7 linked regions of the Mus musculus genome follow. The protein of the gene in region 6 interacts with the protein of the main gene of each other region in a biochemical or structural test. Links are inferred from orthologs where the notes say so. Each region holds a gene or a part of one and is shown on either strand. Other genes may lie near its edges. The genes, in order: Htra1, Grid2ip, Grasp, Mast1, Mast2, Rps6ka1 and Pard3b.

The links.
Region 1: the proteins of Rps6ka1 (region 6) and Htra1 interact in a test that uses a peptide from one of them, tested with the Homo sapiens proteins (2 studies listed by BioGRID and IntAct, with this or other methods). The link is inferred for Mus musculus from reciprocal best matches to the Homo sapiens genes RPS6KA1 and HTRA1.
Region 2: the proteins of Rps6ka1 (region 6) and Grid2ip interact in a test that uses a peptide from one of them, tested with the Homo sapiens proteins (2 studies listed by BioGRID and IntAct, with this or other methods). The link is inferred for Mus musculus from reciprocal best matches to the Homo sapiens genes RPS6KA1 and GRID2IP.
Region 3: the proteins of Rps6ka1 (region 6) and Grasp interact in a test that uses a peptide from one of them, tested with the Homo sapiens proteins (2 studies listed by BioGRID and IntAct). The link is inferred for Mus musculus from reciprocal best matches to the Homo sapiens genes RPS6KA1 and TAMALIN.
Region 4: the proteins of Rps6ka1 (region 6) and Mast1 interact in a test that uses a peptide from one of them, tested with the Homo sapiens proteins (2 studies listed by BioGRID and IntAct, with this or other methods). The link is inferred for Mus musculus from reciprocal best matches to the Homo sapiens genes RPS6KA1 and MAST1.
Region 5: the proteins of Rps6ka1 (region 6) and Mast2 interact in a test that uses a peptide from one of them, tested with the Homo sapiens proteins (2 studies listed by BioGRID and IntAct, with this or other methods). The link is inferred for Mus musculus from reciprocal best matches to the Homo sapiens genes RPS6KA1 and MAST2.
Region 7: the proteins of Rps6ka1 (region 6) and Pard3b interact in a test that uses a peptide from one of them, tested with the Homo sapiens proteins (2 studies listed by BioGRID and IntAct, with this or other methods). The link is inferred for Mus musculus from reciprocal best matches to the Homo sapiens genes RPS6KA1 and PARD3B.

Annotation. Positions count from the first base shown.
Region 1 is NC_000073.6:130,960,203-130,963,702, forward strand, and holds part of Htra1 (serine protease HTRA1 precursor), read left to right. Parts: intron 1-1,310; coding exon 1,311-1,410; intron 1,411-1,770; coding exon 1,771-1,975; intron 1,976-3,500. UniProt on the Homo sapiens protein: Serine protease with a variety of targets, including extracellular matrix proteins such as fibronectin. HTRA1-generated fibronectin fragments further induce synovial cells to up-regulate MMP1 and MMP3 production.
Region 2 is NC_000071.6:143,384,830-143,388,329, forward strand, and holds part of Grid2ip (delphilin), read left to right. Parts: intron 1-1,177; coding exon 1,178-1,265; intron 1,266-1,891; coding exon 1,892-1,969; intron 1,970-2,488; coding exon 2,489-2,685; intron 2,686-2,992; coding exon 2,993-3,148; intron 3,149-3,279; coding exon 3,280-3,366; intron 3,367-3,500.
Region 3 is NC_000081.6:101,230,232-101,233,256, forward strand, and holds the end of Grasp (general receptor for phosphoinositides 1-associated scaffold protein), read left to right. Parts: intron 1-302; coding exon 303-396; intron 397-493; coding exon 494-560; intron 561-753; coding exon 754-820; intron 821-1,285; coding exon 1,286-1,785; 3' UTR 1,786-2,525; downstream 2,526-3,025. UniProt on the Homo sapiens protein: Plays a role in intracellular trafficking and contributes to the macromolecular organization of group 1 metabotropic glutamate receptors (mGluRs) at synapses.
Region 4 is NC_000074.6:84,927,354-84,930,853, reverse strand, and holds part of Mast1 (microtubule-associated serine/threonine-protein kinase 1), read left to right. Parts: coding exon 1-34; intron 35-1,471; coding exon 1,472-1,632; intron 1,633-1,828; coding exon 1,829-1,904; intron 1,905-2,064; coding exon 2,065-2,274; intron 2,275-3,500. UniProt on the Homo sapiens protein: Microtubule-associated protein essential for correct brain development. Appears to link the dystrophin/utrophin network with microtubule filaments via the syntrophins. Phosphorylation of DMD or UTRN may modulate their affinities for associated proteins.
Region 5 is NC_000070.6:116,307,224-116,310,723, reverse strand, and holds part of Mast2 (microtubule-associated serine/threonine-protein kinase 2), read left to right. Parts: intron 1-72; coding exon 73-267; intron 268-681; coding exon 682-908; intron 909-1,097; coding exon 1,098-1,220; intron 1,221-1,662; coding exon 1,663-1,799; intron 1,800-1,883; coding exon 1,884-2,077; intron 2,078-2,386; coding exon 2,387-3,500. UniProt on the Homo sapiens protein: Appears to link the dystrophin/utrophin network with microtubule filaments via the syntrophins. Phosphorylation of DMD or UTRN may modulate their affinities for associated proteins. Functions in a multi-protein complex in spermatid maturation.
Region 6 is NC_000070.6:133,884,998-133,889,177, reverse strand, and holds the start of Rps6ka1 (ribosomal protein S6 kinase alpha-1), read left to right. Parts: upstream 1-1,380; 5' UTR 1,381-1,545; coding exon 1,546-1,608; intron 1,609-4,180. UniProt on the Homo sapiens protein: Serine/threonine-protein kinase that acts downstream of ERK (MAPK1/ERK2 and MAPK3/ERK1) signaling and mediates mitogenic and stress-induced activation of the transcription factors CREB1, ETV1/ER81 and NR4A1/NUR77, regulates translation through RPS6 and EIF4B phosphorylation, and mediates cellular proliferation, survival, and differentiation by modulating mTOR signaling and repressing pro-apoptotic function of BAD and DAPK1.
Region 7 is NC_000067.6:62,341,824-62,345,323, forward strand, and holds part of Pard3b (partitioning defective 3 homolog B), read left to right. Parts: intron 1-2,110; coding exon 2,111-2,317; intron 2,318-3,046; coding exon 3,047-3,284; intron 3,285-3,500. UniProt on the Homo sapiens protein: Putative adapter protein involved in asymmetrical cell division and cell polarization processes. May play a role in the formation of epithelial tight junctions.

The sequences.
Region 1 (3,500 bases), on a different chromosome or scaffold from region 6:
GGAGAACTGTGGTGGTTTGAATGATTTCCCCCACCCCACCCCCACCCGGGATGCTCTGGTATTTAGCACTTGGTTCTCAGTTGCTGACTGTGCTTGGGAAAGCTTAGGTGGTATAGGCTTGCTGGAGGAAGTACTGTCACTGGGGGAACGTCACCGGGGGTAGGCTTTGAGCTTCCCAGCACTCCCAGTTTGCTCTCTCTGGTTTGTACTTGTGGTTAAGGATATGAGCTCTTAGTTTCCTGTTTCTGCCTCCACCACCATAGTGAACTCTTATCTCCCTGGAGTGTAATCCCAAATACACGTTTCCTTCTAAGAGTTAAAAGAGCCTTGGTCATGGCAGCTTTTCACAGCAGCAGAAAGTAACGGATGCAGCTCTGTGTGATGCCTCTGCAGAAGTGGAAATGGGATGCATTAGATGAAACTACAGCCTCGGGGGTGGATCCCAGATCTTCCTGTTATTTACGTGTGTCATTAAGACCATTTAGTATCCATGGAGAAATCCTGGCCTCAGTTTCCCCAAATATAGCATGGTAGCAATGCTCATTTTCAAAGTCTGCAACAAAGTAGAAAATTAAAAGGCTGTGAAAGCAGACTTAATAAGGTGATTCTGCCATGGATTTGTCAAGTTGGTTTGTCTCCCTAAAAGTTGCAGTCCTTTCCCTGAACCTGGGAACATCATCACACCATGGGAAAAGAGATCAGAGTTTGTGGCTGTATCAAGCAGCTTCGGGTGGGGAACTGGGCGGATGGAGGCTCCCTTCCTTTCAGTATAGGAAGCTGGTCCCTGCATGTCCCTGTGCTCAGTTGCATCCAGTTGGAGTCCTGCAGACCCTGATAGAACAAGAATAAGTCACAGATGCCCTGGAGCTTTTGGGGGAGCCTGGGGACATGCAGCTGTGATGGGTCACAAGAGGACTGGAAAGGTCCCAGTTCTTACACAAAGCCCAGAGCCTAGGGAATGATTCCCCTTCCACAGAGAGGCGCGCGCGCACATGTGTGCGTGCATGCGTGCATTTATGTATGTGTGTGCATGTGCAGATGTGTGTATGCGTGCATATGCTTGTTATGTGTGATTACATAAATGCGAATATGTGTCCATATGCTCATGTATGTTCTACACATGTGAGTATACACACATATATGGAAGTGCTTGTATGTGTATGAGTTTGTGTGCTTGAGTTAGTCTGCATGTCTGTAAGTGTGTGTTGATGCTTTAATGCATTTTTGGCTCCCTCTATCCCACGTCTTGTTCCAGGCCTCAGCACAGGCTCAGTAGCACTAAACTGTCTCATCTCTGCCTTTGTCCTCAGGGCAGGAAGATCCCAACAGTTTGCGTCATAAGTACAACTTTATTGCTGATGTGGTGGAGAAGATCGCCCCGGCTGTGGTTCACATTGAACTATATCGCAAGTAAAGAGGCCTGCCCTGTTCCCTCACTAAGAAATAGCACTAGAGCTGCTTCTGAAGCACATTAAAGTGTCAGGAATGTCACTGGGCAGATTCTTGGGTTACGATCAAGTTCTCTGCCTTAGGGAAAGTTCCCTATTTAGACCTATAATCTTGGCCCTTTCAGCATTTTAATAACTTCTAGCTCTGAAGTGATTCCCAGGGAATATTTCCTAAGTGGAATATTTTTTGATGCATTCCAAAAAGTAGCTTAGCGTTATTTTTAAAATGTTAAATGCTTGCTACAATGTGTGTGAGTTGCTCTTGCAGAGTCATTCCCTTGTGTGTGCAAATGAGTTCAAGCTCAACTAATGTCTGTTTCAGGCTTCCTTTCTCGAAGAGGGAGGTGCCAGTGGCCAGTGGGTCAGGATTCATCGTATCGGAGGATGGACTGATTGTGACAAATGCTCACGTGGTCACCAACAAAAACCGGGTCAAGGTTGAGCTGAAGAATGGAGCTACCTATGAAGCCAAAATCAAGGATGTGGATGAAAAGGCGGACATTGCGCTTATCAAGATTGACCACCAGGTGAGACGCATCTGGGGCCCGAGTGCCTCCTGGGCCTGCAGTGCCCAGCTCTCAGAAGGTGAGGTGGAGATGGTGAGGACATCAGAGCTCCCTGGTACCCACAAAATGAAGCTGCAGGGCCAGACAGGTCTCATCAAAGAGGGACCTGAGCAGGGGAAAAGGGAGGAGGGGGGGAGGGAGGAGGGAAGCCCTTGGAAGAAGCTGGCTCTCAGATCAGAGGTTTTAAAAGCAGCATCTTCTCTTTATAAAGCAACAGGCTACAAAGAACTTAATGGGTGGCTGGTGAGAATGGAAACTCCAATCCTTGATGATGAAGCATCTATTACAAAGTTATGTTTGTCTCCACTGAGGTGACCTGGATTCTCCATGGCTACAGAATGGGCTTTGAAAAGAGTTTTAAAAATTGTCTTTAATTATGTGTTGTGTGGGTAAATGGGTATGCACCGAGAGATGTTGGATACCCTTGCCTAGAGTTACAGGGTTATGGGCCACTAGACAATGGGTCTCTGCAAAAGCAGTATGCTCTCTTAACGCCAAGCCATCTCTCCTTGTTAAGCACTTGTTTGTTTATTGTATGTATATGAGTGCACTGTCGCTGTCTCCAGACACACCATTCCAGGTGTCCCATTACAGGTGATTGTGAGCCACCGTGTGGTTGCTGGGAATTGAACTCAGGACCTCTGGAAAAGCAGTCAGTGCTGTTAACCACGGAGCCATCTCTCCAGGTCAAGGTTTTGGGAACCTTAAGACAAAATTAACACCTCTCTCTTGAGACCCTAAGAATCCTTAATATTATGACATGACCATAGTCCCCTCAAAAGGGCTGCAATGCATTATCTACCCAAATTATAGCCTTCCATTAGCCTGTAACTCAGAAGCAGGGCCAGTACAAAACTAAGACACAGTAAGAGTGAGCTCAATTTGAAAAATGCTTATGTGAAGTTGCTCTGCGAGTTATTGGAGTAGCTACTTCTAGTCCTACCTGAATTTTATTTTATCTTATTTTATTTTATTTTTGGATATTTTTGAGACAAGGTCTTAAGTTCTAGCTGTCTTCGAACTTACTTTGTAAACCAGGCTGGCCTTGACCTCAAAGAGATCCTCCTGACTTTGCCTCCCAAGTGCTACCACACCAACAGCAATTTTTTATTAAAGAAAATGAAAGAAAATGTTTTTAATTTAATATTCTGCTTACAGTCACATTTGCTTAGCGAAGTCTTTGTTGTCTTAGGTCTCATGTGGCACAGGGTGCCTTCAAACACATCTATTATCTGTGGATGGCTTTGAACCTTTGACTCCCCTGCATCTACCTTCTGTATGTGAGGGTTATGGACATGTAGGACCAAGCCAGGTTTATATAATATTGTGGATCAAGCCAGGGCTTTGTGAGAGCTAGCCAAGTACTCTGCCACATCTCCCACACTTGTTTAGCAAGGCCTTCATGCCTGAAACTACATACAGTTCTTACTGGATCACCAGCAAACGTTCCCAGTCCACCTCATGTAGATCACATGGTGATGTGAGG
Region 2 (3,500 bases), on a different chromosome or scaffold from region 6:
GTCATCCAGCCTTCAGTAGGCTGAGGAGAGAGGGTCATGAGTAACCCAGGGCCTGCCTGGGTTACATAGCAAGTCCTTATCTGAAAATGGGAGTTGAGGGGTGCTGAGTGATTGCTCAGTGGGTAGTGTCTGCCATACAAGAATCAGGACCTGAGTGTGGACTGCAGCACCCCTGTGAAAATCTGGACATGATGGTGTACAGCTGTTTCCTAGGTGACAGACCACTGAAGCTCATTGGCCAGCTAACTTAACCCGTTGGTAGAGTCCTAGGTTTAATGAAGAGATGGTCTCAAAAAGTAGGGTAGATGGGCCTAAAGAGATAGCTCAGTAGGTAAGAGCATTTATTGGTCAAGCATGAGGACCTGAGTTCAAATCCCCAGCACCCATGTTATTAAAAAAACAAAACAAAACAAAACATGGCACAGGACAAAGACATTTGATGTCAACCACTGTCCTCACACATGTGTACACATTGACATATATGTGCACACATACCAGACACACACCAAAGGAGACTTTAAAACAGGGCAAACCCCTCAGGTCTCTCTCTTTAGTCTTCTTGGATGTCACCAACATCTTCCTTCTTCATGGACAGAGTTCCAAGAATGGCTGCCTTACTGACCAGACGGGGAGTCAGTTCTTAGCTTATAACTTGGATTATGCAGCATGTCTTTTTTTTTTAATTGTGTGTGTGTATGTGTGTGTGTGTGTGTGTGTGTGTGTGTGTGTGTGTGTGTGTCAGAGGCCAGAAGAGGTCGTCAGATACCCTGGAGCTGTAGTTACCAGCAGTTGTGAACGGTCGGATGAGGGTGTTGGGAACGGCACTCAGGTCCTCTACAAGAGCAGCAAGCATTGCTGAGCCATCGCTCTAGCCCTGGTTTACAGAATTCTTTCCTTCCTCTCTTTCTATTTTTTATTTTTTGAGACAAGGTCTTACTGTGTGGACCAGGCTGGCCTGGAACTCACAGGGACCTCTGCCCCCTGAGTTCTGGGATTAAAGGGGTGCACCATATCCTGCTTCTATCTAGTGCTTCCTGCCTGCACCCTCCTCTTGCTCCTGTCTTCCTCTTGGACCTCCTGGGCCCTATCTCTTTGGGGGTCCTCAGGATGAATCTCAGAGGCAGGCTGGTTGCCTGGGCTCTCCTGCTCTGACCATCTCACGATCGATTGCTTGCAGCTTGGGGAAGACTCTGACTATGACAAGCTGAGTGACATGGTGAAATACCTCGACCTGGAGCTCCACTTCGGCACCCAGAAACCTCCGAGTGAGTGGCGGGGCCATGCTGCCTGCTGCCTCGTAGCTTCCGGTTCCCAGAGTATACACTGCTAGACACTGTGTCTCCAAACTTCAAGACCTTTCTGCATACATGCATGAATCCCTTGATGGTCCTGTAAGCTAGATCACAGAATCACTTTCACTTCTTAATGAGGAAGCCCAGAAAGGCTAGGTAGTTTGCACCAAGTCACAAAGCCATGGTAGGATGAGCATCCTTTTCAGTCTCCCTCTCCACCTCATCCTTTCTAGGTATCTCCTTGGAGTGTGACTCCAAGAAGTCAGTAGTTTGTTCTTGTATGCAGCACAAACTCAGGAAGTGGTTGGTTTTCATTGTTCAGCCTGAGGAGTGCAGGGAAGAGGGCCTGCGAGGGGACAGTAGTGTGGGGTCTGACAAGCCATGTACTAAATGCCTTAGGCTGGACCTGCGGGTCCACGACCGAAAGGCTGAAGAATGAGGCGGGAATTTGGATGCCTGGAGCTGATGTAGTTGAGTTGATGCATCCCTGCAAAAGTTCCTTGACCACTGGTTGTAGCCACACCTCTCCTTTGGCCCTGCCACAGCAGCCCTAGTCTAGCCCCGCATTCCCCATTAAACAGTACTGTTTTCTCTTCCAGAGCCAGTGCCCGGCCCGGAGCCCTTCAGGAAGAAGGAAGTGGTGGAGATCTTGTCCCACAAGAAGGCCTACAATACCTGTGAGAAGCTTTAGGGTCCCCACCTTCAAGGGCCCAAAAAGCTGAAACCCGCAAAGGGGAGATCGAAATTAAGATATGGGGACTGGGACCGGCCACACTGCTAAAAGAAGGCCGACTCTCAGGGCAGCAGGATCCCCAATCTGTACTCAGGTGTACTCCTAGGCACCCTCTATTGGCACCATAATGCGTTTCTTGGTCCTGGTCCTGGCCATACCTCCAATCATATTATCGACTTCGTCCCTCCTTAGTTCCTCGCCCCGCCCACTGTTCTCACCCTTCTACCAGGTATCTGTTTGGGGGGATCCCGCCCCTCTTCTGTCAATCTCCAAGACCCCTATTCCCTGGCTACTCTTACGCAAAGCCCTTCTCCGCTAGGTACTTCTCTCAGGCCCCTCCTCGCTATGCTCTTCCCAGTACCCTCGCCGAATCAAGTCCCTACTCTTCCCTGAGGCCTCGCCCCTAATTCGGCCCCGCCCCCCCAGGGCCCCGCCCCGTCTCACCCTAGTGCCCCACCCGCAGCCATTCTCCTAGCGCACCTGAAGCTGACCCCTGGCGAGCTGCGGCAAGTGCTCATGAGCATGGAACCCCGGCGCCTGGAGCCTGCTCATCTGGCGCAGCTGCTGCTCTTCGCTCCTGACGCCGACGAGGAACAGCGATATCAGGCTTTCCGCGAGGCTCCGGGTCGCCTCAGTGAGCCGGACCAGTTCGTCCTGCAGGTGCTAAGACCAGCCTCCAGCCCCCACACCATGGCTAGGGCTCCTTCGCATGGGCTCCCTCTGCAGTCAGAAGTTGGCTTCTGTCCCAGGTCCCTTGAAGACTGCCCTTGGCTTCTTAGTCCTAGTTTAACTCCTTTGAGTTCTCACTTTAGGTCAAGGCAGACGCGATGAGATTGTTCCCAGGGTCAGGTTAATTTTTCCTAAGGGGTACCATGTTCATCTGTCAGAGGACTCACTCCCCAGGCTGGGCAGAAGGTCCCGGCTGGGGATGCATGAATCTGGCCTGGGATGCATGACTTTCCTTCAGATGCTGTCGGTTCCCGAATACAAGACCCGCCTGCGCAGTCTACACTTCCAGGCTACCTTGCAGGAGAAGACAGAGGAGATACGAGGCAGCCTCGAGTGTCTGCGACAGGCATCTCTGGAGCTCAAAAACAGCCGGAAACTCGCCAAGATCCTGGAGGTCAAGCCATTCCCATCCCTGTTTGTTTAATCTGATCTTTTTGTCTCCTGGGGCGCCCAGCCCAAAACCTACACATGGGGAGGGGGCGGGGTGAGTATCTGGATAGGATCATTCTACTTTTCTCCCCACAGTTTGTGTTGGCCATGGGTAACTATCTCAACGATGGACAGCCCAAGACCAACAAGACCACTGGCTTCAAGATCAACTTCCTGACCGAGGTGAGGGCCAGGCAGGCACCCATCTACTCTAGCTGCCAGACCTGGAGGCAGAGTCACGTTGTGGCAGCTGAGCCAAGTGTGGCGGCATACACCTGTAATCCCATCACTTAGAAGGTCGAGGCAAGAGGATCAGG
Region 3 (3,025 bases), on a different chromosome or scaffold from region 6:
CAGTGTTTCTCTGTATGGCCTTGGCTGTCCTGGAATTTGCTCTGTAGATCGGGCTGGCCTCAAACTTAGAGAGATCTGCCTGCCTCTGCCTCCCAAGTGCTGGGATTAAAGGCATGTGTTGCCACCCTTCCCCCACAACTGGTTTTGTATATTTTGAGTAGAGAAAAAGAGATGCCCAGGTCTTCCACCACTGTGGAAGTGAGTTCTGGGTGGTTTCTCCAGGTCACCATCCTGCTCTTTCTGGCTGGAGCCTTTCCTCTATGCCCTGGGAAACAGATACTCACTTCTGCTCTTCCTGGCAGGGGACACTATTGCCAGCGTCAACGGTCTCAACGTGGAAGGCATCCGGCACCGGGAGATTGTCGATATCATCAAGGCGTCTGGCAACGTTCTCAGGTATCCGTGTCTAGGTGCAGTGCCTAAGGGCTCCTGAGTTTGTGGTGCTTCCTCAGCCTCCAGGCTCGCTCAGCCTTTGTCCCCCTCTATCCCCCAGGCTGGAAACTCTGTACGGGACGTCCATTCGGAAGGCAGAACTGGAGGCGCGCCTGCAGTACCTTAAGGTGGGGATCAAGAAAGTATGGGCTCTGCCTTCCTCTTTCCGGTCCCTGCTCCTCCGGCCCTTTTAAGGATTCCGGCATCTTTCTTAAACTCTGTTAGCCCCGAGGCTTCTGTGCCTTTCTCCCTTTCCCATGCGTCCCCATATCCTGCTGGGGACCTGGTAGTCCTGACAGTTGGCTTGCATGTGTCTTACAGCAAACCCTGTACGAGAAGTGGGGAGAATACAGGTCACTTATGGTACAGGAGCAGCGGCTAGTACATGGTGAGTAGGTCGGGGCGTCCCCACGGATACCCCCAGCAGCACTCCCCTCTTAGAACTCACAGGGATGGCCTGGAGCTACTGCTTGGGACCTCACATTGCCCTAAGCTGATAACACAGTTTTGTTCTCACAGTCGCCCTCTGGAGGTTAGGGTTGAGTACTGCTGTTTGTTGCCGGCCTTTAATCCCAGAAGCAGAAGCAGAAGCAGAGGCAGGCTGATCTCTGATGCCAGCCTAGTCTACAGTAGTAAGTCCTCGGACAGCTAAGGCTCACTTCTGTGGACTGCTTTCCTGTCTTAAGAGGCGTTCTTGAGTTTAACTCCAGCTTTACAGACAGAAAGACTGGGGCCCAGGGCACTCGTAGGTAGCCACAAGGAAAGAACAGGATCTTCTGCCCATGCCTTCTGCCCCTTAGCCTAGGGCGTGGCTCCAGGATTCAGGAAGCTCCCGGGTCTTCTGTCCCCACAGGCCTGGTGGTGAAAGACCCAAGCATCTATGACACACTGGAGTCCGTGCGCTCCTGCCTCTACGGCGCAGGCTTGCTTCCCGGGTCGCTGCCCTTTGGGCCTCTGCTCGCCGCGCCTGGGAGTGCCCGCGGGGGTGCGCGGCGGGCCAAAGGGGACACAGACGACGCCGTGTACCACACGTGCTTCTTTGGGGGCGCCGAGCCGCAGGCACTGCCACCCCCGCCACCCCCCGCGCGCGCGTTAGGCCCGAGCTCCGCGGAGACCCCCGCGTCCGTGCTGTTTCCCGCACCTCGCTCCACGCTCAGCCGCAGCGCCAGTGTGCGGTGCGCGGGCCCGGGCGGCGGCGGGGGCGCGCCGGGCGCACTCTGGACTGAGGCCCGCGAGCAGGCCCTGTGTGGCGCCGGCCTACGCAAGACCAAGTACCGCAGCTTCCGCAGACGGCTGCTCAAGTTCATCCCCGGACTCAACCGCTCCCTGGAGGAAGAGGAGAGCCAGCTGTAGGGGCGCGGGTGGGCAGGTGGGAAGTATTTATTTATTTATTCATCGTAACAGCCTGTGCAAAAAGTAGGGGCGGTAGTGTCGGTCCAAGGACCCCGGGAGCCCAAAGCTGCGGGAGAGGGTCCTTGCTAGCTCTGGTCTTTCTGGTCGGTTCATTGGCTTGTCTGCTGAACAAAAAAAAAAGGGGGGGGGGGCTAGTTGCTTTCTGCCCTCCCCTAAACCACAGCAGGAGCTCTACAGGGGGAGAATAGACACTGGGAATTGGGAGAAATCTGGGGGACCAAAGAGGGCTGTACCAGGCTAAAGTCTGGGTCAGTCGTGCCTTGTGGGGGTCCTGTCCCAAGAAACCCTCTCCTCAGATATACTGGCTCCCCAGCCCTTCCTTAGCCTTGGGGAGAGGAGATCCACGATGGATCATTCCCCACCCTACAGAGACAGACAGACAGATACACACACACACACACACACACACACACACACACACACATCAATGGACCAGTGGGCCCCAAGGGGGCAAGGTGCTGGTCCCCTCCCTCCAACCTTGACCCCTAAGGGCTTAACCCCTGTCCAGGGGCCTATAACTAAGTGGGGTCCTGCCAGGCCGGGGTCCTGGGTTCTGTGCTCCTTGGGGAACAAGAATGAGTTCATTCAGGTGGGGTGGGGCAGCCTGGACTGTTCCACCGTTTTCTGCATATGTTGCTTCTGAACCACAAACTGTATAAAATTGATGGGTTTTTTTTGCATCTGTGTCAGTGTGGTAACTGCCTGTGGGGGAGGACTGTGCTCAGGCAAGCTCTGACTCCACCATGCAGCCCCCTCCAAACACACACGGGCTGTACTTCACATCTTTCTTTTAGCCTGAAGCCAGGGAAACTGTCTAGGGGATTTTAATGAACATGTTCTGGCCTGAACTGAGGCCCCACACCCTCTTTAGAACCCGGGCCTCTCCTTCAGGTGCATTTTTGAAGCTTCCCTCCCCAGATACCCACAACAGATACAGGATCGCTGTCTAATGTTCCTTCCTGGCCCATCTGAAGTCTGCCTTGAGTAGTAGCTAGACCCACAGACTTAGCCACTGTTCACCCAACCTGTGACAGACAGGTCAGTCTCCTGGCCCTCCTCCCACTCTTTACACCTGTGCCTCCCTGGCTAAGCCCTGAGCTTCATTTCTGGGCTCCTTACTGCTCAGAATGCTGGCTACAGACATGTCCCTCTGGGCCTCTGCATTGGCTTTTTCCACAAG
Region 4 (3,500 bases), on a different chromosome or scaffold from region 6:
CTATGGCACCAACACGCCCAGCTCAACTGTTTCAGTGAGTATGTGGAGGTGGATGGATGGGTGGGTAGGGACTCAAGTGACCACACCAGGACCAGAGGTCCCAGCTGTCCTGAGAGGCCGGGTTTCACGGCCCTTCCGAATGCTCAGTTGTCCATCCATTAGAGGTGACAGGTCTTCCGCTGAGGCCCATCGCTGCCCTCACTGCATTTCCCTAGGAACCTACTCTCGTTGTCCGTGATGACTCAGTCTTGGGGACTAAGGCATGTATCCAAGTACCATTAGCTAGCCAGAGCCCGCATAGCTTCTACCTCGAGCCCAATCGCTTACCCACTGTACACCTCGGAAATCTCTGTCCTTCAGTGCCCCTTGCAGGAAAAGCTCTGGTTTTCCATCCTTTGCCATGGTGGTTACAAGCTTTGATCATGTGACCTGACTGAGGGTATAAAGGAAGGCTTCCTAGAGGAAGTGGTTGAAGCCAAGATAAAGGATCAGTTGGAACTTGGGGGTGAGGTGTTCAGGAGGTCAGCACCATGGTCAACTCCAAAGGCCTCAGAAAACAGGAGCAGAAGCAATCTGAAAGTATCTGTTGTATGGCAGAATACCGTGGCATAGCCTGTAATGCCCCCTGGAGACTCTAAAATAGGAACCTTAGGAGTCCAAGACCAGCCTAAGCTACATGAGACCTTTCCTCCACCCCTTACCACCACTGGTGGGGGAGCAGCGTAAGGAAGGAAGAAGGAAAAAGAAAAAAGGAAAGGCTGGGCAGTGGTGGCGCACACCTTTAATCCCAGCACTTAAGAAGCAGAGGCAGGGTGATCTCTGAGTTTGAGGCCAGCCTAATCTACAGAGTAAGTTTCAGGATAGAGGATAGCCAGGGCTACATAGAGAAACCCTGTCTCAGAAAAACCAAACCAACCAACCAAAAAAAAAAAAAAAAAAAAAGGAAGAAGCAAAGAGCTTGCTTTTCATGCCTGAGGCCCTGGGCTTGATCTCCAGTACCACAGAAGAAAGAAGGATGGGAGGAGGGAAGGGAAGGAAAAGAAAAAGCTAACTCTCCAGTCAAGGGTTGGAGCAGAGCAGGTGATCCACAGGGGTGATCCAAGCATAAAAAACAGCTAATACCAAGGCTCCGGGGGCAGAACCGGATCTGCCATGTTCAAAGATCTGCAGGAGCAGTAGGGATGGAATAGAGCGGGCAGAGGTACGCGTAGGAAGAATGACAGCAAGGAGGTAAGGCCAGGAGGTCTAGTGGAAGGACTTGAGAGCGCACTGTAAGGTAGGAGCCAATGGATGGTTCTGCATAGCAATCTTCCCCAACCCCTTGGTGGTTTGAGATAGAATCTCAGTGTAACCGAGGCTGGCCTCAAACCCTCTGTCCTCTTAAGCGCTGGGATCACAGATGGGAGCCCCAGGCCAGGGTCCAGTGCTGTGCTGCCCCCGCGGTGGCTCTGACCCACCGCCCTCCCCGTAGTCCTCCTGCTCCTCCCAGGAGCGCCTGCATCAACTACCGTACCAGCCCACCGTGGACGAGCTGCACTTTCTGTCCAAACACTTCGGCAGCACCGAGAGCATCACCGACGAGGATGGTGGCCGCCGCTCTCCCGCCGTGCGTCCTCGCTCTCGCAGCCTCAGGTGCGCAGGCACTGAACCTCCCTTCTGGAGGGATGAGATTTGGTGCATGACCAGGGAATCTTCGGTCCTGGGAAAATGTAGTGGAGTGCGAGATGGGGCGGGGGAGAGGGAAAGGCAGCGGCGGGGGTGGGGGTGGAGTGGGGGCGGGGCAACACTAAGTCAGGGGACTGGACAGGATGAACTTCTTCTCCTGCAGCCCCGGCCGCTCCCCCTCCTCCTACGACAACGAAATTGTGATGATGAACCATGTGTACAAGGAGCGGTTCCCAAAGGTGAAACAACCCGCCCCCCCCCGCGCCCCCCACTCCCACATCACACGACTTCCCTTAGTTCGCTTGAGCGCCTGAGCTCTGTGCGCCCCCTAGCGATCAGGACGCGCGGCTCCAGTGACCACAGCCTCCTAGAGCCTTGCATCCCTGTACCGTTGTCCAGGCCACTGCACAGATGGAAGAGAAGCTGCGGGACTTCGCCCGCGCCTATGAACCTGACAGCGTGCTGCCGCTGGCCGACGGCGTGCTCAGCTTCATCCACCATCAGATCATTGAACTGGCCCGAGACTGCCTTACCAAGTCCCGCGATGGGCTCATCACCACGGTCTATTTCTATGAACTGCAGGAAAACCTAGAGAAGCTGCTGCAGGACGTGAGTGCCAATGACCTCAGGCCCCGCCCATGAGCAGGACAGACCCCACCCGGTTCCTACACCCGTCAAGAGCAGTATTCCAGGCTGGCAGGGTACTGTGGTTCCCACTCTAGGTCTGATGGAGGAGTTGGAAGTTTGTCTCCATACAGGCCCTTCAGTTATTTATGCAACTGTCACCCTTTCTGGTGGCCTCCTAGACCCTCCCCCTTACCCCTCATTAGGAATTGAACTCTGTGAACCAGTGGCCTTGAGGCAAGTGCTTTACCACTGAACTGCATTTCCCCTTCCTTCCTTCCTTCCTTCCTTCCTCCTTCCCTTCTTTCTATTCAAAACAGGGTATCCAGTAGTGCTGGCTGGTCTCCAATTTGTCATGTAGCTGAGGATGGTCTTGAACTTGAGAATCTTCAGTTTCCACCTATTGAGTGCTGGGATTACAGTCTTATGCCACTGCCAACTTCCACTTATGAGATGCTGGGGATGGAACCTAGGACCTCTACATGCCAGGAGAGCAGCACTCTACTAACTAAGCTACACTCCTGGTTAACACTAAGTTGTCCACTAACTAGCCTTGAAATCACTGCAGAGCCCCTGCAGGCTGTGGATTTGACACCTTCCTGTCTCAGCTTCCTGAGTAGCTGGAGTCTCAGGCCTGCAGTACCACACCCAGGCCGTGTGCTAGTTCAAACCCTGTATAAGCAATACATCATTCTATACATTTTTGCTTATTTTCTTTCTTGGCTTTGGTACTACTGTGTCAGGACCATGACTGGGAAGGTAAAGTTCTGTTCAATACAGAGTCCCTGGTGTCTGGCATGGGGCCCAGCTCAACAAATATTGCTAACATGTCTCTGAGAGCATGGCTCTTTGGTTTGCCTAACATGGGTAGCCCTAGGTTCCATCCCTAGCAGAATACACACACACACACACACACACACACACACACACACACACACACACACCATTACTTAAACAAGTGTGTGAGCCTGCTGTGACAGCACACACCTGTCATCCCAGCACTAGGAAAGAGCATCCCAAGTTCCAGGCCAGCCTGGCCTACACAGCAGACCTTGCTTATTGATTAATTAATTAATTAATTAATTAAAAGGGTATACAACTAACAGCAAACAAGATAATACCCTATCCATGTTAAAGACTGTGGAGAACGCTTTCTGAGCACTTCCTGTGCACTGGGCCCTGGCAGCTCAGAAGACAAGTATGTCTGCCGT
Region 5 (3,500 bases), about 18 Mb from region 6:
GCATAGGCTGGGATATACTACAGGGAGAGGCTTAGCTGTACCACAGATCTCATTGTTCACTTGGGCCCACAGCCCTGGAGACACGAGGCCGTGGGACCCCTCAGCTAGCTGAGGAAGCTACAGCCAAAGCCATCAGCGACCTAGCTGTGCGTAGGGCCCGTCACCGGCTGCTCTCTGGGGACTCTATAGAGAAGCGCACCACTCGCCCTGTCAACAAAGTAATCAAGTCAGCCTCAGCTACGGCCCTTTCCCTCCTCATTCCTTCAGGTAAGGCCAACAGGGAACTAAGGTAAAATGCATAGGAAGGACATGGGAGGCTGGGGATGCGTGGGCACATGTGTAAAGCCGGTAAGTATTTGAGAGACGGCCTCCTTTCCATGAACATAGAGGTCTCTGAAGATCCAGGTTGATGTTTATGATGTACGCACACGGGCATCAGAGAGCAAGCAGGGTTGTAGTGGACTAGGAGTGGGTTGGGGTCAACAGCTTAGGCCAGCTAGGATCATGGCTGTGTTAAGACCTCTGATGGTGCACGCCTTTAATCCCAGCACTTGGGAGGAAGAGACAGGCAGATTTCTGAGTTTGAGGACAGCCAGGGCTACACAGAGAAACCCTGTCTTGAAAAACCAAAAAAACCAAAGAAGACCTCTGATCATTAAGTCTTGGTTTCTGCTTCTCCAGAACACCATGCCTGCTCACCATTGGCCAGCCCTATGTCCCCACATTCCCAGTCATCCAATCCATCATCCAGGGACTCTTCTCCAAGCAGGGACTTCTTGCCAGCCCTTGGCAGCTTGAGGCCTCCCATCATCATCCACCGAGCTGGCAAGAAGTATGGCTTCACCCTGCGGGCCATTCGAGTCTACATGGGTGACACTGATGTCTACACCGTACACCACATGGTGTGGGTATGTCTGGCCAGACAGAGTTGTTGTCCTCCAGCTGTGTACTCCCACCTTCCCCTTACCAGAGCCTATCTGCCTTTTCTTTGGTCACTGCCCACATAACTCACAGAAACCAGAGGGTGGTGGTAGTCAAGGGTCACAACAGCAGCAGAACCAGGCTCCCGATTAAAGGCTTTTCTCTTCCTGAGGCAGCATGTGGAGGATGGTGGTCCAGCCAGTGAAGCAGGGCTTCGTCAGGGTGACCTCATCACCCATGTCAATGGTGAGCCTGTGCATGGGCTAGTCCACACAGAAGTGGTGGAGCTGGTTCTGAAGGTTAGTGCTAAGAATGCTTCTGTGTGATGTATGACTGCCCTGGACTTGTGAGCCTGGACTCGCCATAAGGGGAGTGAGAGGATCGGGTACGCGTACATGTAGCATTAAGGATAGATGTAGGGACATGCAGGATTTGAATGTGCAATACAGGAGGTTTTTCTCCATATGGTAATTAACCTCATCTGCTGGCCAAACCCCAGACCGTTCTAAACTGCAAGTAAGACTGATGTCAGGACAGGAGAGGTACTGCTGTCTTGCCCGTTCCTAAACTCCTCTGGAGTGCCACTTGGAGCATTTCCTATCCTGTGAGGGAAAACAGCCTTTGATTAGTTTACATGTTGGTATGGAACATCCAAAGGTTTAAGTTAAGATGCGGGGAAGAGTAAGAGTAGGGGAGACAGCCCCATCCAAAGGTTCCAGCTTTGTCTGCTTGGCTTCCTAGAGTGGAAACAAGGTATCAATTTCAACAACTCCCTTGGAGAACACGTCAATCAAAGTGGGGCCAGCTAGGAAAGGCAGCTATAAAGCCAAGATGGCCCGAAGGAGCAAACGGAGCAAAGGCAAGGATGGGCAAGAAAGGTGAGACAGAATTGGTCCAGAGGTCTACCCTGAGATGCCCACATTTGATCAAGCCTACAGTATGCTGTCCCCTTATCTCTACAGCCGAAAAAGAAGCTCCCTATTCCGGAAAATCACAAAGCAGGCCTCCTTGCTCCACACCAGCCGCAGCCTTTCTTCCCTTAACCGCTCCTTGTCATCAGGGGAGAGTGGTCCAGGCTCTCCCACACACAGCCACAGCCTCTCTCCCAGATCTCCTCCTCAGGGATACCGGGTAGCCCCAGATGCTGTGCACTCAGGTACAGGGGTACCCCTGCAAATCAGAAACCATCCCTTGGGAAATTGGAATGAACTTGAGCCATCTGCTTCCCATAGGCCAACTCTAAAGCTCTTTGAGCATAACCTTGAAGATCTATAAGTGTTGGGAAGATTGATGGGTGGGGGCAGTGAAGGTAGATTAAGTGGACTGTAGTCACCAGTGGTAAAAAGTGAACAGCAGTCTTGGGGCATTCTAGAGCAAAGTTCTGCCTTACTGCTCAGTCACTTCTAACAGCTAACACTGATGTCTTGTTTTCTGTTTGTCTGTCCACCCATGCAACCATCCAAAGTAGGAGGGAATTCCTCGCAGAGCAGCTCTCCCAGCTCCAGTGTGCCCAGTTCTCCTGCTGGCTCTGGACATACACGGCCCAGCTCTCTTCACGGTCTGGCACCCAAGCTCCAACGCCAATACCGCTCACCACGGCGCAAGTCAGCAGGCAGCATCCCACTGTCACCGTTGGCCCACACCCCTTCCCCACCAGCAACGGCAGCTTCACCTCAGCGTTCCCCATCACCCTTGTCTGGCCATGGGTCTCAGTCCTTTCCTACCAAACTTCACTTGTCTCCTCCGCTAGGTAGGCAGCTCTCACGGCCCAAGAGTGCAGAGCCACCCCGCTCTCCCCTACTTAAGAGGGTGCAGTCTGCTGAGAAGCTGGCGGCTGCACTGGCAGCTGCTGAGAAGAAGTTAGCACCTTCCCGCAAACATAGTCTTGACCTGCCCCATGGTGAACTAAAGAAGGAACTGACACCCAGGGAAGCCAGCCCTCTGGAGGTAGTTGGAACCAGAAGTGTGCTATCCGGGAAAGGGCCACTTCCAGGAAAGGGGGTACTGCAGCCTGCTCCTTCACGGGCCCTTGGGACCCTACGGCAGGATCGAGCTGAACGCCGTGAGTCACTGCAAAAACAAGAAGCAATCCGGGAAGTAGACTCCTCAGAAGATGACACTGATGAGGAGCCTGAGAACAGCCAGGCCACACAGGAGCCAAGATTGTCCCCCCACCCAGAAGCAAGCCACAATCTACTCCCTAAAGGTTCAGGAGAGGGTACAGAAGAGGACACTTTCTTGCACAGGGATCTAAAGAAGCAGGGCCCTGTACTCTCAGGTCTAGTGACAGGGGCCACACTAGGCTCCCCCCGAGTAGACGTTCCTGGGCTCTCCCCAAGGAAGCTCAGCAGGCCACAAGCCTTTGAGGAAGCTACCAACCCCTTACAAGTCCCTAGCCTGAGCAGGTCTGGACCCACAAGCCCCACCCCCTCTGAAGGCTGCTGGAAGGCCCAGCACCTCCACACACAGGCACTAACTGCACTTTGTCCCAGCTTTTCAGAACTTACCCCTACCGGTTGTTCTGCTGCCACCTCCACCTCTGGAAAGCCAGGGACATGGTCCTGGAAATTCCTTATTGA
Region 6 (4,180 bases):
TAGTTGGGTTTTTGGGGTTTGGGGGGTTTGTTTGTTTTGTTTTGATACAGGTTCTTACTGTGTAGCCCTGGCTGGCCTAGAATTGGCTAAGTAGCCCAAGCTAGCCCTGAACAGAGATCCTCCTGCCTCTGCCTCCCTACTGCTAGGATTAGAGGCGTGAGTGACTTCTCTCCACTTAAAAATGTACTGCATTAAAATGTCTTTATCGGGGAAGGTTGTCCCTGTGCACATTTGTGGAGGTCAAAGGACTGCTTATGAGTTGGTTCTCTTCCACCACATGGGGCCTGGGGATCAGACTCAGGGAAGGCAAGCTCTTTTACCCATTGAGTCCATCCACGGACCCACCCCACACTCTTTTAAACACCAGTGTGCTCCTGACCTGCTGTGTGACTTCGGATAAATAGCTTAGGGTGTCTACTAGGATGGGGTGGAGTCTCAAAAAAAAAATCACAAGCTGCCTGAAGGTGGAGGTCGGAGATACTCAACACGACCTGGCCGGCAAAGCCTGGGTTCCATGGCCATAACCAAGCAAGGAAACGTAACAAAAAATAAATTCCCTATCAATGACGCCTGTCTTCGCTGGAGGCTTTTAATAAACGAGCCAGCTTGTCTTTCACCTGAGAGTAAGTCTCACGACACCTGGGGCCTAAAATCTCCTTAAGAGCAGGCCAAATCTTACTGGAGAGAATCCTGATCCCACCAGAACTGGATTTTGCCTTCTTTCCAGGGACTCCTGCTCAAGTCAGACCACAATCTGGTCTGCCACGGAAGAGGCGCGGACCTGGCCTGAAACCAGCGCCCTCAAGTGATAGGGCACAACAGACTAGGAAGGAGAAAAAAAAATGCGTATTAGGAAATCACCCTGGGGGCGCTGTGGGTCCTGGCGCTGGCTGGCTTGGGACCCGGGGATCACATGGAGACCCCAAAGTGTGGGCTCCCGTGATGTGCACAAGCTTTCGGAAGGGGGCGATCCTAAGGGCTTGGAGAGCTGAGAGCCAGAGGGCACAAGGCCCAGGCTCCTTCCACGCCTCAGTCGGGATCAGGCCCAGGACGTCCCATGTAAATGTGGGGTGGCAGCCCCTCCCCCTGGAGGGAGAAGGCACATCTGGGTTAACATCCCAAAGGCTGCTAGGACAGGACAACGGAGGCCCCAGCGAGGTCTGCAAAGCGGCACAAAGCCCGGGAAAACGGAACCCGCGGAGCCTCCGGTGGGCAGGGCCGACAGTGGGCTGGGGTCTCTCGTGAAGGCAAGGCTGACTCCCGGCGCGTTGGGGGCGGGGGTCCGCGCCGGGAATGCCGCGCCGTGGGGGGACTGGGCGGGGCTACTCAGGCCCCGCCCCCGCGCAGGTAGCCAATGGGCGCGGCGGCGCCGGGTGACGGAGCGAGCCGAAGTGCGAGTGCCGCGGCGGCGGCGGACGGCCCATCCAGAGCGCGAGGGGCTCAGGGGCGTGCGGGGGTCTCGGTGTAGCAGCAGGGACCCCGTGGCCCAGAGGCAGCGCTGCCCGGGGCCGCCGGGAGGAGCGCGGGCGGTCCGGCAGCGGCGCGATGCCGCTCGCCCAGCTCAAGGAGCCCTGGCCGCTCATGGAGCTGGTGCCGCTGGACCCGGAGGTGAGTGAGAGGGGCGGGGGTTGGGGGGACAGGCGGCGGCGGCCGGCCAGCCCGGATCCGCACCGGGGCGGGGCGGGGGCGGCCCGCGGCGTCTCTGCAGCCCCGCGGGGACGTGAGTGCCCTCCGGTCTCTAGCTCACTGTCCGGCTCCACCCCCTTGTGCTCCGGGTGTGCGTGTGTAGGGGATGGTTCTGCTGGGCTCTCAGTACCTCCCTGCAGTAGCCAGGAGAGGAATCTCCACGGTGTGTTGAGATCTGACACCTAGGACCCATCCCGCTTATCATCTTTTAGTAGCTGTGGGAGTTGCCCCAATCAGTGCAGAAGGGAGAAAGGCTTGGGTCAGATGTCTAGGCTTCTACTAGAGACAAGGATCATGGGAATCCGGTTTCTCACCTTAACCTCTCCCCAAGACCTCTCTTCGTTCCTCCACTTCTGACCTTAGGAAGGTAGCCCTGCTGAATCCCAGGCAGTTATGGAACGTGGGACGATACCACCTCTGGAGTTGGAGCCTGCTTTCCTTTGCCCTAAAGCTAATGACACCGGGTCTTCCTACTTCAGATTATGCTGAAGAGTGGGGAAAGTCCTTAGATCTTGTGAAGACTGTCTCTGTAGAAGAGACTCTGCCTCCGTCTTCCTCTCTCCCTCCTTCCTTTCCTGTAGAAAAAGGCTGAGCCCTTGGGCAGTATGGCTTCTGCCACCTAGCCTTTCCCAGAAGCAACTCCTGTCTTTTTTGAGGGCTTTGTGGTCCAACCCTGAGCATGCAGGAGGCCACTTCTGTGCTGTCCTGTCACCCTGGGATCAAGGTCAAGTTTTGAACCAGCAACTTTAAAACTTTCCCTGCTCTCCTGCTGCGAAGGAGGCAGGTGAAACTCTGCCTTCCTTCACTGGAGCTGTTTTGGGGTACAGGAGGCTGGGGTACAGGAGACCTCACTTGATCCCAGAACCTAGATGCTTTTTCTCCTGGCTTGAACCCCTTTACCTATGCTTGGTACCTCAGGTCAGTCACTGTGAGCCCTGTCTCTCAGGACCACGGGCAGAGAGAGGATCCACAGTGAGATCCCCAAGTCTCCAGGCACTCAGGGCATGCTGCCCCTTTAAAGGGATGGGCTACACTGGCTATTGGAGGGTGGGCGCGGCTGGATTAGGTAACCAACCTGAAGGCGCAATTTGGAGTAAATTGTTCTGGGATCCTTGCCACGGGGGTTTTACAGGCCCTACACAGGCGCTCAGAGGCTGTCTGGCTGACTCACCCTCCTAGGTGAGGAGCACTGCTCTCTGCAGCCCCTGGTGCTCCCCCCACACTCCCCAGGACTGGGGCACAAGGCCCCAGGGAAGGCTCAGAGGTGTACTCCTTGGCTTGGGCACGCCCCTGCCACCTGGGCCTCCAGAGGAAGGGAGGCCTGACCTCGGTATGGCTAGGGAGGGACTCAGCCTAGGGACTCACAGCTTTACCCTAGCGCGGAGAGTAGAGTTCTAGGAGTGCTGGCCTCCTCCAGGGCAGCACTTCCTGCTTCCCTTTGGGAAATCCTGAGGCCAGAGGCAGCCTCATGGGGGCCAGGTTAAACCGGAAACATCTTAGTTTGAATACTGTTGCACCTGAATTCAGGCGAGGGGAGACTGTCACATTTCCTGGGATGGGGGAGAGGAGTTTTTTCATTGAGTTTCACTTCAGAAATGTTGTGTGGCCCTAAGTCCATCTTCAAGCTGTCTGGGCCTCTCCTTCCAGCACCACAGATGAGTTTCTAGCTCTACTTCCTGGGCCTGACAAGGTGCAAAACCCTGGGTCCTGCTGCCTGGGTCCCCTCCCCCAGGCCATGGAGGTGCCTGTGGACTGGGTGTTATTGTTTGGGTAACCAGAGCTGTGGGGCAGTGAGGGTGTGCATGCTCACTTGAGAACAGGGCCCTGCTGTTCTTCGTGCAGATGACACGTAAGTGATACAGTGCCTAGCCTGCAGGTACTGGCGCCATTGTGGCCAGGAAGAAGGCAGGTAAGGGGGCTGGCAAGGGCATTTGGCAGAAGAGGTCTGGGATCTGAATTGCCCTGTCTTCCCATTGCTGTCACCAGAAGTGGGCTGCTGGCAGGCAGGGCCCAGGTGGACTAAACCAACTGGACGTAGGGGTGAGGATGTTACCTGGGCTTTTTTTGGTTCTGCTGAAAGCAGCAGAGCTTTGTCTCCAGCTGCTACTTATTGATGTCATGCAACTTTAAAAAAGATGACCCCCCCTCCCATTTTCAAATGGGAAGGCAGGACTCAGGGATGCTGGCGTGTGCATTAATATCAGGACTAGAACCCAGTGCTGTCACTGTTTCCCTCCAAGCAAGAGAGACTCAAAGATGAGTGTGGGGTGGGTTTCAACTGGCACAGGTGGCAGGTAGGCAGAGAGCAGCTCCGGATGTTGGCACACACTTCTCAGGCCTCAGGGCCTTTGTCCAGCCTTGGCTGAGGGCTAGCAGTGTCCTGGCACTTGGCCCCCAGGCTCCAACAGTGCAACAGGGCTGCCAGGGCTGGGCTCAGAACCCAGTTCCTGGGGCTGCTTCCTGCCTGCAGGGCACGTGCTGTCTTTCCCCATCT
Region 7 (3,500 bases), on a different chromosome or scaffold from region 6:
TGCATAGGGAGAGTGCTTTTTGCTGGATTTAACTGTAACACAGCCTTAGTATTTATGCTTGCAAATAGCACCTGCAATTTGTCCCTGAATTTTCTTGTATTTTTCTCAGTCTCTTCTCAGTTTCCTTTATTGACTATGCACTGTCATCTATAAAATGTGGTGTTTATTATCATTGTGTGTATTGTTTCTGTAAGTTTTGCCTCCTGCAAGTTAATGATGAAACCATGATGTAATACCTAATTCTTGCGGTGTGCTGGCTTGACTGGGTGGGCTCCGGGGCTCATCTAGACTAATACTTTTTGTTTTGGAGATGAGGAAAATGTATGTCAGCTTAAGCTTGATTACCATAATCAAGTAGTGGGCAGGCACGGAACACGTCCTGAGGTTGTAAGGTTCGTGGTACAAAACAGAAAGGCTGCAGTTGGACTGCCTCTGTTCAGTGCCCAGTGGGGACATGAAGTGTGTAACTTTAACATGTTCCCCATCTTTTCTTATCTACAAATGCTAACAGGGGGACAGGAGTTAGTTTGGTAATAACCCATTTGCTTATCATACCTAGGACCTTTAATTTGATTCCCTAGCTCCCAAACGATACCTTAGTACCACAAGTGAAAGGATTATAGTAAGTTAATATCAGTGAAAGGCAGGGAGGTGCTGGGCACACTCTGAGAATTCTGTACATTGGTAGCTATTATTACAGTTCTTTACATATTCCAGCAAAGGTGGAAGTCTATGCTGCTAACCAACTTATGAGGCTGTTGCATACATTAGACTTATCACTGCTGCCTGGCCTTGTCTTATAGCCCTTGTAGTACACAGTGAGAAGCTAGAGTCACATCTGTGGTAGCAGTGGAAGTAAAAGTGAGAACAGGGATAGCAATATTAAAAGGTAGAGCATCTGCCAAGCCTTCGAGTGTTGGTGTGCATTGAAGTAGATACAACACATACGTGTGTTGATGTCACATATGTGGATAAGCTGCACAGTTATTATTTTCAGAAACATGGTGCATTCTCTTGATGACAATAGTCTCTCCCTGGTAACTGGAGGGGAACAGTCAGGCCTTGGTAGACAGTGAGAGTGCTGAAACAAAAGCCTTAATGGAATTTTTTCTATCTTGTAAGTAACCATTTGCCTACTAATATTTCCATCACTTAATCTTGTTATTGATAATAAGGAGACTGGCTGGAACAGGAGTGGAGTCAAGGAATGGAGTGGAGGGGAGTAGGCCTTGGGCAAGAAAAACTGTACAAGAAGCAGATAATCTATGGTAGAAGATAGGCCCTGAAAGCTCTCTTATGTTTTACATCTCTGTGCTGTAATTGTCTATTATATTAAAGGAGGCTCCTTTCCTGCACTTCAAATGGAACTAGAATTGGAGCAACAGCATTAGGAAAAGTTGTTTTCTTCCTTGCTTTGCTTTATTCACAGAATAAATACATTTAATTCACCATGCATTAATTGTCTTTATGATAATGTAAAGAACTTAACTATGAAAATTGTTATCACTAATGGTTTGATTTCCAGGCCAATCAAATAAACAACTCTGGCAGTAATAACAGGTATAGCGGATGAGATGACTGATTAATACTAATGGGAAGCACAGATTGTGTTAGGTGGGTTATGAGTCTGCATGCCTTGGTCTAGGAAGCAGAGGCAGGCAGATCTCTGTGAGTTTGAGGCCAGTTCATTCTACAAAGAGCTTGTGTGTCTCTCTGACCACATATGTGTACGTGGATGTATATCCTCTCAAACATACAATCTATAGATAGTGACTAGTTTAGTGGCTTTTCAAGTTCACATGTATGTCTATCTATGTGTGCATATATACACATATGTATAAATTTCCCCGAGTAAAACAAATTTAAATACTGTCATCTAAAATCTTACCACAGCTGTAGAAAAAGAAACTGGGTTTCAGAGATGGCAGCCTACTTGCCCAAGATAACCAAAGATAATGGCAAAGCTGGAGTTCAACCCCCAATGTTTACTGACTTAACACAGTCTTTTCTAAACTGCCCAGCCAGAACTATTCTCAGAATTATGAGTCTTTCCACTATAGCTCACTACTCTATCATAGAGAAGGCTGACCTTTCACCCTTTCTCTTCCAGACTCTCCAGGCAAAGATTTTGGTCCAACTTTGGGTCTGAAAAAGTCCAGTTCCTTGGAGAGCCTACAGACGGCTGTGGCTGAAGTCAGGAAGAATGATCTGCCCTTCCACAGGCCCAGACCACACATGGTGCGGGGCCGAGGCTGCAACGAGAGCTTCCGAGCAGCCATCGACAAATCGTACGATGGGCCAGAAGAGGCAGACGCGGGTAGGGCCATATGCCCCCTTAAGTGGGCTCTTCATCTCATTACCATCTGCATATTATAAGCAAAAATGTTCACTTAACTACTGAAAAAAATGATTTAAGGATCACAATTATATTTTTGATATTAAAAGTAATTCATTTTCCTGATATGTTTTGCCCTTTGGCTTAAGGAACATTAGATTGGAGGATGCAATGTGCAATTTATTTCACAGTGCAAATGGGGGAAAAAAATTCTCTTTCACTTTTTTAGAAGGACCAACTGTCATTTACCCTTAGGGCAGGAGCACTAAGCATGCGTTTCTTGGCATTCTTATTTGAATCATTAAAAGCAACATCAACCAGAGGACTGACTGCATTAATTGCGTAGGAGCAGTGGGTTATATTTATACGCAAAAATCTCTTTTGGAAAGAAGCTCACCCTGCTTGTTCCCAGCATGTGGGCTTTCTGAACTGATCGGAGGTTAACAAGCTAGCTTTCAGAGAGGTTACTGCTTTAGCACATTTCAAGCCTTTTGTGCTACCAGCTAGCAACCAGTGTGACCCACTCCTAGCCTCAGACCTTGCTTGAAGTACCCAGGGCTAAGAAATCCTATCTTCAAAGGGTACAAGTAGCCGTGTGGTTCAGCAGAACATAGAGTACTTGTATTCCTTCTGTATTTTACATTTTGACGTATTTTATATATACTAGTGGTAAGTGCCCCTGACTATGGGTATTGATTTTTCTCTCTACAGATGGTCTGTCTGATAAGAGCTCTCGCTCAGGCCACACAGCTCTGAATTGTGAGTCTGCCCCTCAGGGAAACCCCGAGCTAGACAATGTGGAAAATAAAGCCAAAAACATCAAAAAAACAAAAGAGAAGGAGAAGAAAAAAGGAAAGGGCAAGCTGAAAGTCAAGGAAAAAAAGCTGAAGGAGGAACATGAGGACGCAGAGAGGAAAATGAAGAGGAAGGGCTTCGGTGCCATGCTGAGGTAAGGGCCCGCTGTGAAGGCACTTGGCATTGTTTCTCCTAGCTAAACCACGCCATTGTGTATGCTCAGGAAAAGGGTCAAGGTTTCTCTCATCTTCAGCTATATTCATAAAAATCAAGACATTCGTAAAAGTCAAGGCTATAACTGTATTGTTTGTGTGTGAAGAAGGCACAAAAAGCCTTTTGAGGTGTCCCCTGAATCTTGTGCTGATGACGA